Nothobranchius furzeri: one gene and its partners. The protein of the gene in region 3 interacts with the protein of the main gene of each other region in a biochemical or structural test. Links are inferred from orthologs where the notes say so. Each region holds a gene or a part of one and is shown on either strand. Other genes may lie near its edges.

The links.
Region 1: of the proteins of syk (region 3) and flt3, one has a biochemical effect on the other in vitro, tested with the Homo sapiens proteins (2 studies listed by IntAct, with this or other methods). The link is inferred for Nothobranchius furzeri from reciprocal best matches to the Homo sapiens genes SYK and FLT3.
Region 2: of the proteins of syk (region 3) and ptpn6, one has a biochemical effect on the other in vitro, tested with the Homo sapiens proteins (2 studies listed by BioGRID). The link is inferred for Nothobranchius furzeri from reciprocal best matches to the Homo sapiens genes SYK and PTPN6.

What each region holds. Positions count from the first base shown.
Region 1 is NC_091747.1:51,120,745-51,125,010, reverse strand, and holds the start of flt3 (receptor-type tyrosine-protein kinase FLT3), read left to right. Parts: upstream 1-1,324; 5' UTR 1,325-1,389; coding exon 1,390-1,423; intron 1,424-2,689; coding exon 2,690-2,727; intron 2,728-3,345; coding exon 3,346-3,412; intron 3,413-3,913; coding exon 3,914-4,019; intron 4,020-4,127; coding exon 4,128-4,252; intron 4,253-4,266. Other genes in the region: PAN2-PAN3 deadenylation complex subunit PAN3, read right to left, coding at 30-348. UniProt on the Homo sapiens protein: Tyrosine-protein kinase that acts as a cell-surface receptor for the cytokine FLT3LG and regulates differentiation, proliferation and survival of hematopoietic progenitor cells and of dendritic cells.
Region 2 is NC_091745.1:73,981,211-73,985,363, forward strand, and holds the start of ptpn6 (tyrosine-protein phosphatase non-receptor type 6), read right to left. Parts: upstream 2,904-4,153; 5' UTR 2,767-2,903; intron 2,628-2,766; exon of another isoform or gene 2,523-2,627; 5' UTR 2,459-2,522; coding exon 2,451-2,458; intron 1,401-2,450; coding exon 1,278-1,400; intron 1-1,277. UniProt on the Homo sapiens protein: Tyrosine phosphatase enzyme that plays important roles in controlling immune signaling pathways and fundamental physiological processes such as hematopoiesis.
Region 3 is NC_091746.1:36,390,366-36,393,549, forward strand, and holds the end of syk (tyrosine-protein kinase SYK), read right to left. Parts: intron 1,572-3,184; coding exon 1,382-1,571; intron 1,069-1,381; coding exon 640-1,068; 3' UTR 521-639; downstream 1-520. UniProt on the Homo sapiens protein: Non-receptor tyrosine kinase which mediates signal transduction downstream of a variety of transmembrane receptors including classical immunoreceptors like the B-cell receptor (BCR).

The DNA of each region.
Region 1 (4,266 bases), on a different chromosome or scaffold from region 3:
CGTCCGGGGCCCTGTCCGTGTGTACTCACTGGTTAATAGCTGCCCCTCTAGGGACGTGCCCGCAGGCCCCAGTGTTTCGTTCTTCTTGGATACACCGGTCCCTCCACCGCCAGTGCAAGGCGTCACCGCCGTGACGCCGAGGGAGTACCCCGCCGTGGCCAGCGGAACAGGGCTACCGCCGCCGTGCAGCGGCATGCTGCCCATGCACGGGTCTTCGTGCAGAAACTGACACTCATCCCCATAGAAGCAGGTTTTGTCTTTCGCATAGTATCGGCAAAACTTCACCTTGACATTGGGTATCCCGACACCCCCGAGCGGAGCAGCTGAAGGTGGGAGTCCACTGTTCATGGCACCACTGCTGCCGCCACTGCTGCCGGAAGGCACTCGAACATAGAGCCGCGGAGAGCTAAGTGCTAAGCCAGCTACTTTACTACTCTAAATAAATCACTTCAGCTCACGGATAACATTTAACATCCCATATTACTCGTATTATAAAGCTAAAATACATTTTGGTTTAAGAAAATATGCCCGCATGTGTGAAATCTTGGTGGTTGTTGTCACCGTCCATGCAGCTGCCTACGCTGTAGCGGAGCCTGTTGTTGTTTTCTGCTCTCAGCCAGGCTGATGAGTCGATAGCAGAGCAGCTAACAAGGATATGCTGCGTGGAGTGCAGCATCATTCACCTGCCGCAAACTCAACTCAAGAGCGCTGCTTCCCAATTTTAAACTTAAAGTGCAACTCCAAGTATTTCTGATGAAGTCACTAATAAATAAATGAGTAAATTAATAAATAAACTGAGACAGAAGGCAACATTAGTATTTTTTATTTAATCTTTATTCATTTATGAATAATGTTTTAGTGCTGTGTAATAATAAAAATTATATGATTTTAGCAATCGAAGTCTTTAATTTAATTAAGTTTTGATCCCTCTAGACCACACATTTAACACTGCAGGATCTGCAGTCGAGTGGCGGGCCCTAAACTTTGGGAATTTTGGAAACCACCGAGGTTTCACTCAGGACATGAACAAAGGAAAACAATTTCTTTAATTAAATGTTTTATTCTAAATACAATGTTTCACATATGCATGTTTTGAGACAAATTTTAAAAAGCATACATATACTTATAGCGATTATGCAAACATATTTATTTTCCTATTTCCTGCAAAAAAATACCTCTTCTTTTGCATGTCTGTATTTATCGCATGGCAACATATAATAATACATTTTGCCATCTCAAATTATTTCTATGGTGCTAATGTTTTGGTTGTTTTGAGCAAATAGGCGTGACTATTTCTAAGACTTCCTCTCTTTAAAAAGATCCCCGCACACTTAGTGCGCTGCAGTTTCACTGTTTGCGCTGAGAAACCAGGCACAGAGTGCAAGCATTATGGTGCGGGGAAACAGATGTGCACTAGCTGCAGGTACGTGAGTGTTTAAACACAGCTTTTCATGACGTTGAAAGCTGAAAATGCATTTTAAAAGTTAATCATTGGAAATTGTGACTGTAGAATCAGACTTTTTGAACATTAAAAAATATTCTCAATGTGTGCTCTTCACTTTTCTAATAATTTATGAGATTTTTGTGAAGACTATGTAAGATATCTGATTTAAAGTTGTATTCTACTGTGTTGAATTTAAGAAAAATGTAATGTTTAAATGTGAGGAATTACCATAACATCTAATCCAGATTAGGTAATTTGATTAAAACAATGTCATTATTAAAGATAAATCTGATTCATATTTTCAACCATTGCAGGATATTAATTAAAAATTTACTAATCTTTTTTTAATCTTAAAAACATCCTGTATAACAATGTAAAAAAGTAAATTCCTGACACTTTTGACCTGTTCTTACATTTAAATTAATTTCTAAATATCCTAAGTGACCATTTTTCTTGCCTAGAAAGCAAAGTAGGAACCCACACTGAGGAAATAAAAAAAATCTTCAGCACCAGGAGGATTAATGTAATGTAAAATCACAGTAAACACAAAAATAATAATACGTAATAATGCTTAACATTTTGATTAAATGTCTATTTTTGTTTTATTTTAATTCAGTATATATATATATATATATATATATATATATATATATATATATATATATATATATATATATATATATATATATACACGAAATAAAATAATTGTGTGGTGTTTTGTACCACTGGTAGTATTGCCTTAAACTGACAGGAAAAATCATAAAATGCTAAAAGCGTCTGAAATGTATGACAAGCAAATAAGTCATATAATGTGTGACACAGTAAAAGTTTCATATTTAAATGTTGAGATCTGATTTTATTTGTAACTTCATTGATTTTGTTTTTATGAAAAAGTCACACATGAATGTATTCCAATTTAATCTTTATTATATATTAAGATAAACTAGAGAATCCTGGTTAATGGTTAATTTCATGATTGCATTTATTTGTTATGAATATATAGAATGAAGAGCAATAATATAAGAATTTATTTACAGAAAATGTCATTATAAAAAGTAAACCATCTAAATATGATTTGTAACTTTAGTCTGAAAAATCTGTCATCATTAGTATCTGTTTGGGAAAAAAAAGAATAATGATATTAGTCGAGCGAGCCCTGGTGTAAAATGTATCTTTCTTCCATTTTTTTTTAGATTAAAATATGTTTAAAGTTTAAATCAAAGTGCATATTTTCTATTTTTCAAGCTGTTCTGCTGTGTGCTACTAAAGCGTTCTGCTCTAAGGTAAGAGCAAATTTAAAATGTGTTAGTCTGAAAGACTTTATTTTTGACTGAGAAATGCTAAAGTTCTGAACTACATTTCAGCTGCCATCACACGTTCATGAAGTTGGTTTTGCGCAACAAATGTGGTTTTTTGAAATTACTATAAACCATAACAGGCAAACCACAGAGCAGAGTGAGGCATGGATAAGGAAACAGGACCAGCTCAACTAAAATTTGTATGTTTCTTAAGTTGTCACTTTGTTAAGTATTGACATTAAAACAGATCAGTTCCTTTGTAAAAAGAAAACTGTTTAAAAAGCTAATAGCATCCACATTCATCCTTTTGATTTTGGCCCTACTCAGACTAGCAGTTAGCTCATCAATCCAAATCCAAATTCATCTTTATTTCTCCAAACTGAGGCCATTTAATGGTAATGATTGTTCATAACCTTTCCACAAAAACTCACTTCAACATAGAAGAGTCATCCCTTTTCTGCACCTTTATTAAAAAAATACCACCCAAGACCAAATTCTTTGTGTCTGTAAGTCCAGATAAAAACTCTCTGCATGAGTTTGTCAAACACATAAATACAGTTTTACCCTCTAACGCCACTCAGAGTGGGATGTTGTTCCTCTCAGGTGGACCACATCGTCCCAGCTGCTTCTCTGAATGCATCCAGTCCTGTCAGCATCAGGCTGTCTGTTGGTAAGAAACTCATGGTCCTCCTGTTGATTTAGCATTCAGGAGAAAGCAGAGCATGTCTCAGCTAGCAGAAGCTAACCATTAGCATTAGCAATTCCATCACATGGCAGAACTCCTCCAGGCTTGTGATATTTGTGGAGATAAAACATCAACGATGCAAAGCAAACCGAGTCAGTAGTAGAATCATGCTGCTGTTAACCAATCAGAGGCCAGATGTCCCAAGTATAAGAAAATAAGACATAAGATTTATTTATTTATTTATTTATAAATCCAGTTGTTTTCTGCTCACCTCTCTTCTTTTACTACAAGAGCTTTTTTGCCCACAGAGATCGACTCACAAGGCATTGGTTTATTCTAGAGAACATGGCTAACGTGTCAAAAAACAATTGAACTTGATCTTTAATAAAATTCTCTGATTTAAAACAATTGCTTTTACTGAATCATGTTGACCAATGATAGTATTTAGCTAACAGGCAAAAACATTATTTTTCTTTTTGTTTCTAGAACGTCCCACAAAGCCACGACTGTTACTGAAGTCTTTCTCTAGAGAAACCAGTTCTCCTTTTATCTCGTGCGTCGGCTCTCCAGGGACCAAGACTGAATGGTTTAAGTAAGATATCCTCCACTGAAGCATTACACACTCATGTTTACTTGGTTAGCAAAATCACTTCATCAAAACGACCTGAAACTGAGACAAATCAATAATGTTCTGTTTTAGGTTGACTGGGGATAAGGAGAAACTTCCTGGAGGGGATTTTTCAGCTTCTAAACTGTATAAAATAGGAGTGATGTGTTGTGCCACAAACGATGAAGGAGATGAATGCACCCAGCTGTATGACTATGGTAACTAAACACAT
Region 2 (4,153 bases), on a different chromosome or scaffold from region 3:
TTTATTAACGTTAAGTATCAATTAAGTATCAATAAACAAAGAGTCCCTTTATTAAAGTTAAGTATCAATTAAGTATCAATAAACAAAGAGTCCCTTTATTAACGTTACTTACTGCAATATTAGGCATCAATATACAAAAGGTCCCTTTATAATGTTACTTTGTGCATTATTAAGCATCAATAAACAGAGTCCCTTTATTAACGTTACTTACTGCAATATTAGGCATCAATAAACAAAGAGTCCCTTTATAACATTACTTTGTGCATTAATAAGCATCAATAAACAAAGGGTATCTTTATTACTGTTACATAGTGCATTATTAATCATCAATAAACAAAGGGTCTCTTTATTAACGTTACATAGTGCATTATCAAGTATCAATATACAAAGGGTCCCTTTATTAACACTAATGTTTTTGTCAACTATTAGTTGTCCTTAAGGTTAGAACAAAGGGTCGGGGATGTCTGTTTAGTAATGCATTACATAATATGGTTATGCAGTTATTACTTTAATTGTTTATTAATACTTAATAATGCACTAAGTGATGTTAATAAAGAGACCCATTTTGTAAATTGTTACAGAATATTTGAAAAACTGAAACATTTTAAACAATCTGCATCTATTCAGCAGTTTCAAAGGATTCCGCTTTTACCAGTTTAATGTTTTGCTGAGATGCACTTTGAGATGCTGAAGCAGAAGAAACCACAAATCAGACTACCAAACACTTAATAAGTGTGTGACCCATTTTTGTCCGGCAAATAAGTTTCCAGTGTTTCTATGTCTGAAAGTGACACAACACAGATTTCTGCGAGCTGACCTCTTTTAAATAAACAGCTATTGAATAAAGCTAAAAAAAAATAAAGGCCGTAGCACGGAGAAAGCATTAAATATCAACCTCTTATAATAAAAGGCTCCGATACTGTATAACATGGTTTACGATCAGGAAAATCTCAAGTGTATCAGTTAGGTCTAAAGAGCAAAGGTTTCAGGATGTTAGATATACAGACACCAGATTTGTCTGTGATCGTTTCTCTCTGTGGCGTTCTTGTTGAGCATTTCACTTTCTGTCCATCAAACGTTAAAAAGAAGCTTAAACATTTATTAAAATCAGACAGAGGCAGCTGACCCATGATTTCAGTTGCTCTCGCTCATCAAAACCCTTCAGATTTGTAATAATCGTGCCATTTCTAGCCTGCAGATAAATTTGGGAAGAATATAAAGTCCTCCAGTTTTCTCCAATAAAATAGGAGCTTCTATAGAAGTCTTTGGGTTGTTACCTGACCGACAGGGAGAAATCACCAACATTTTTCTTGCTGGGTCGAGCCAAAAAGCTGCCAGGGATGCCCCGAGACTTCAGGACCTCCTCGGCTTCCAGACCAGTGATGTCTCTGTGGAACCACCTGCGCCAGGACCAAGAAAACACAAATAATTCAGGTTAGAAATGAAATTAGCGCTGCAGGATTAGATCACTCGTTAGGATGAATGGGAGAATTGTGTTTAGTAAGTTGAAAGAGCTGGATTACTGCATTTCCGTTTTAGATGTTTTGAGATGCTGTTAGACCCAAAAATCTTAATTTTTTTCTGACTAAAGCTCAGTTTGACTCAGTTATTTATGAATTTGTCAGGAAATAAATATTCTGATGTTTTCTATAATTATATCCTTCATTTATCTCTCAGCAGCTAAGATAATGAGATCAGACTGCATTTTAATGCTAAATATAGCCCTGAGATATGAAAAAGGTCAATAATAAAGCTCTAATATAGCAATATAATAATAATAATAATAAAGCAGCGGATCGTCCTCACCTGTGTAATCTAACAATTTTCATGCACATTAAATTAACATATTTAAAGTAAAATGTCTTAATTGTTGTTTAAAAGCTACCAGTTCCAAAAAAATAAACCAGAATTTAAATTACTTTATATTATTTCTTCTTACCTGCAAATATGTCGAAGGATTTAATCTGAATTTTATAGATTATTGACTTCTAAATGTTTAAAAACGACTTATTCTTAAGTTTCATGACACACGTGTGGTTGCGTTTTAAAGAAATAACGAAAAGTAGCTTTCAAAATGAAAACATGCATTTTAATTTGCTTCTAGGTTATGATTTAGTTGTGAAATTCAGCAAAAGCAGCAAAGTCGTGACGTCTGGAAGCTAAATTAGCGCTGGGTTAAAGAGCTAGAAGGTTGAAGATGCACCAATAGGTAAAGTGAATTAAATGTTTTACTTCTGTCACTTTTTTTAAACAAAGCGTGCAGCACATTAGGGGTCATATGACAGAAGAACAGAGCAGGATGAGCGAACGGCTGGCGAAAGATAGAGAAGGAGGAATGGAAACAGAGAAGTTGTCATAATGTTTTGCAAAAAGCACAAAAAAATGTAAAAAAAAACACAAGCAGAGTTGACTAACGCAGCGTTGTGGTGTTCGGCAGAGGCTTGACTCACCGAACCATGTCGTCTCCCGACGTTTTCTGGGACAAAAGAGATGAAGAGCTATCGATGAAGAGCCACTTAAACCTGCGCCACACGTGCCGATTCAAAAGCACAAGTTCGAGGATATTTTCTCTTGTTAGTTGATTGTTAATCTCATGGAAGACAAAACGCTTTGTTGTTGCACTACTTCCTCACTTTGTGCTGACTTCAAATGAATCATGTGTTTGTTCGTTCGCACACTAACCAGACACCATCCCGTCAAAATCATCCGCCCTCAGCTCTCCTCCTCTATCTGACAGCTCAAGTACAAAAACAGGCAAACACTTACTCCTCTCAGCTGCTCCAGTCAACAACTGTCACTCAGGAAGACGCTCACACTGTAGTCGTCTGCGTCTTACCCCCTGCGTTGTTCTCTCTTTCTCTCTGTCACTCCCCTTCCTTCCTTTTTACGTGTCCTTTCACAAAATAGTGAAAGCAAACACAAGAACAAAAATAGCCAACAGGCCGGAATTCCTCAAGTAGATGGAGAAGATGCCGTTTTTCTTCTTCTAATAACGACCACAACAAAAAGTTGTGTGCGAGAGCAGAGAAGGTTTCAGCTCCATCACTCTAAGTTTCCTGTGTCGGATCTCTGCAGCAGAAGCAGCAGCAGCAGATGTAGGTCTGGTGACTCTGCTCAGCGAGCAGCCATCCCATCACGGTCAGAGTCCAAAACAGAGAGTTTAAGTTCCTGGAGACGTCACCAGCGAGAGCACGCTTGGTCTAACAAAAATCACAGGCAAACGTTGTCTCCTCAGCCAGCCCACCTGTCTGCTGTCAGTGCTGTTTGTTCTTTACTTCCAGGTGTGTACCGGTGTGTGCATGTAACACACAAAGGTCAGAGTCACAGAACACTTCCTTATTTGAAGTTTGACCTTCCCCCCCTCGTGTGTGTGTGTGTGTGTGTGTGTGTGTGTGTGTGTGTGTGTTGCTTTTCATCTAATTAACCACTGCAACAGCAAACATAGATGGCATTTAAAGAAGGTTAAACTGGTGATAAATAGTGATCTGTCCATTTAAAGTAAAAGTTCCACAAACACACGTTTATATTTCTATACTTGTGGGGACCTAGCTTTTTAGAGACCGTATGGGGCCTATCCCTAACCATAACCATTACTGGTGTATTCTTAACCTTAACCCTAAATAACACTTAATTCACACAATACCTCTAAAAGCAAGTATGAAGGACTTTTTACACAGTGGGGACCAGCCAAATGTCCCCACGTTACAGGTTAAACGTGACATGTCCCCAAAATGTAGTACAAACAAGGCGCGCACACACACACACACACACACACACACACACACACACACACACACACACACACACACATTTGGTTAAACTGCAAACACAAACTCTTCCATTCCTTTTTTAAGCATGTAAACAAGAATCATTTACGTGATTTCCTGCATTTAACTTGCCAATTATCCCACTTTTTGTTTTGAAATGCTAAAGAAGACAGTTCTAGTGGAAAATATTGGGTTAAACAACGTAAAACGATAAATAAATTGTATGGAGGAGAACACTATTATATATAGCTCTCTGGAGCGCCACACACACACACACACACACACACACACACACAATTGCAGGTGTTGTCGTGGTTAACGCCAGCTATTGCACTCATTATACTCCTGTCAGAATCTCATGTTTTACAGTTAGAGCAGGTTTGACT
Region 3 (3,184 bases):
GCAGACTTTCGCCTAGCTGAGTCCAACACGGTGCTTATGGCGAGACACAGAGCAGAGCGGCAGGGGCAAAGGAGCATGGAGGCAGAAAGCTAAAACAGCCACAAAAAGGTAGCGCTAGGTGGGTGAAGGCTGACCAGAAGGCAGCAGAATCAACACCAGCAAGCAGTCAAGCTAACTTTTCTATTGCATAGCTAACAATAGTTATTTGTACTCACATGTTATCAGCGAGGTGAAGAGCATAAGAACTGAAAAATGCCAGTGACACTGGGGGCTTGTAGGTGGAGGGCGGGACCACCACCCAGTAAAGGCTCATTTGCCTTTACAGGCGTGATTAAATGTGTCTTCAGCCAGGCCACACGAGGGCGTGATGTCCCATAGTACCTTCATTGTACCGAGTGAATCGACTGAAAGGGAATCTTTAGAGCAGTTATATCACGTGTCCTCAGCCCTGATAGGCCACTGGATGTTTGAGCTGTTCCAACACCTGATTCAAAGATTCAGTCACTTCTTCATCAGGTCCTCAAGTTTGTCAGAATCCTGTTAGTCACCCACTGATTTAAACCAAGTGTTTTAGAGCAGCAAAACTATGGAAAACAAGCAGTAATGGCCCTGGAGGACCAGGACTGAATATCCCAGGTATTAAGCATTCTTCCACTCAGTACTGTCTGTGTGCTGTTTAAACATACCTGTAATAAATGTTATAAACACTGATTCCACACTGTGAAAGAAAGCTAAGAGGTCCATCATCAGAGCCAACCTGACCCTAATGACCCTCAACAAGGTTATGTTCTGCTGGTGTACGTGGAGGAGATTGATTACTGTAGTTTCAGAGCATTTTGTGTGTGTGTGTGTGTGTGTGTGTGTGTGTGTTTGTGTGTGTGTGTGCATGTGTGCGTGCGTGTGTGTGTCCAGGCTGATTAGTGGTACCTTGTATGGTTTTTGGCCAAAGGAAAAGGCCTCCCACATGAGGACTCCGAAGCTCCACACGTCACTTTTGGTAGAAAATTTGAAGAAGTTTATACATTCTGGAGCGTACCATTTCACTGGCCATTTCCCGTGAGTCTTAGCCTGAAGGACGAGGCACACATCATCATCATCACTAACTGAATGACCATTTAGGTAATTTTATAATTTTATACTAAATGACTGCAAAAGCCAGAAGGGATTCAAATAACCTGTCTGTAAGCCAGATGTTTTATTCTCTTTCTGTCCTTCACACTGGAGCAGAGCTGAGTTCTGCTTCTGGTCTGGGTATTATACTGATCATACTCAGGCTTGCAATTTATTTATTCATCCATCTAGTAATTTTGGGATCGATTTTGAAATCTTAGGCGATCAAATCAGCTGCTCCAGAGTTCTGACTGATAGCTGATTGAATTACCTTGTAGTAGTTTTGCTCCTCTGCCACAGCTTTAGAGAGTCCAAAGTCACTGATCTTTGCATAATGTTGCGTGACCAGCAGGACATTCCTAGCAGCAAGGTCTCTGTGCACAAAGTTATGCTCCTCCAGGTACTTCATCCCCATGGAAACCTGATGGACCAGCTCTGTGATGTTCTTTACAGATGTGTGTCTGCAGATATAGTAAACCTGAATGTGAACAGTACCTCATGATGTTACAGTATCTATAATATTTGTTATTGTTAAAGCCGGGGTCTGTAGCATGATGAGGAGGAGATTTGAACGACTACAGCTCCCACCTCTGCTCCCCTCCCTTTTGCTGTATGGGCCGTGGCTTTCAGCTACAAGGGGCTCAAACTGCGCGCACAATTAGCCTTGAAGTGCTAACGGACAACGAATGTTTTTGACGAATTGCTGCTCAGACACACCTGATTCTAACTGCTGAATTATCTCTTCAGCCTTCATCAGGTTGTATACTAGCTGTTTTAAGAAAACCTGCAGTATTCAAGCAGAGAAACATCTAAAACCGTCAGGAATCCACGATCTGTAATCCTTGCTAATCATACAACAGGCTAAAACAATAGTCTGATGTAGCGTATGGTTGAACACATCAGGTATTTATCTCCAATACACTAAAGATTAATCCTTTATTTTTCCCCCTCCTTCTTTTTCTACAGTTAGCTTGAATTTTTCTGACTGACTATAGAGCTGACGTCACGTTTCCCGGCATGCAACAGTTCAAATCGAAACGGCGCCATTTGGCAGGCAGAAGCCGGCAGCTGGACTATTTGTGATTGTCAGAGAGAACTCAATCAAACGGGAAATATGGTAGATTCCTGTTGTGCCCCAGGATGCAGAACAGACACGGACGACATAAGGAATGAGCCATCTACAGGATTCCCCAAGATCCGGAGCGCCGCAAACGTTGGATCATTGTAATAAAACGCACTAGTGACCGGGCTAAAATGAAGCTGTGGGATCCCGAGAGTAAAGGTTTTCGCTTATGCAGCGACCACTTCATATCAGGTACTTAAACCAACGTTTCCTCAACTGTGTATGGTATTTATTTTAAATGCTTTTATTACGATTCTTAGTGGGCTTCCTAAACTTATTTTGGCGTGGCTTTTTCTGTCTTACTACTCATAGCAACAAGTAAACGTCACGTAAAACGTTGCCTCGTGAGTTCTGCGTGCTGCCGTTTACATGTTTTATGATCACAGCAATTAACCGGCTAAGCTGTATTTAATTTTTAAGCAATGGTTGATCAATTGTCAGATCACACATAAAAAGCACTTTGGATTGCTATTATCTGTCTCACCGAGACAGATCTCAGACAGATCCTGAGATGCTCCTGCCTGACATATTTATTTTATTCACGGAAAAAAATCAAACTAGTGATTTCTCTTGGCGCTCAGCTTATACATTCAAACAGCACAGCACTCTATTTAAACTACTTGCATGTAAATCTATGTTATTTGTCCATCCATCCATTTTCATCCGCGTATCCGGAGTCGAGTTGCGGGGGCATGTAGCGTCGAAAGTCCCAGACTTCCCTCTCCCCAGCCGCCGGAGCCAGCTCCTCCGGGTAAATCCCAAGGGGTTCCCCGGCCAGGTCCAGTAAGAAGTCCACTCCGACAGCTTCTGGCGTCAGAGCGGGCAGAAGCGTCGAGAGTCCCAGACCTCTCCCCAGCTCCTCCGGCCGGGGGAATCCCAAGGGGTTCCCCGGCCAGGTCCGGTAAGAAGTCCGCTCCGACAGCTTCTGGCGTTTTTAAAAAGTATCCCAGG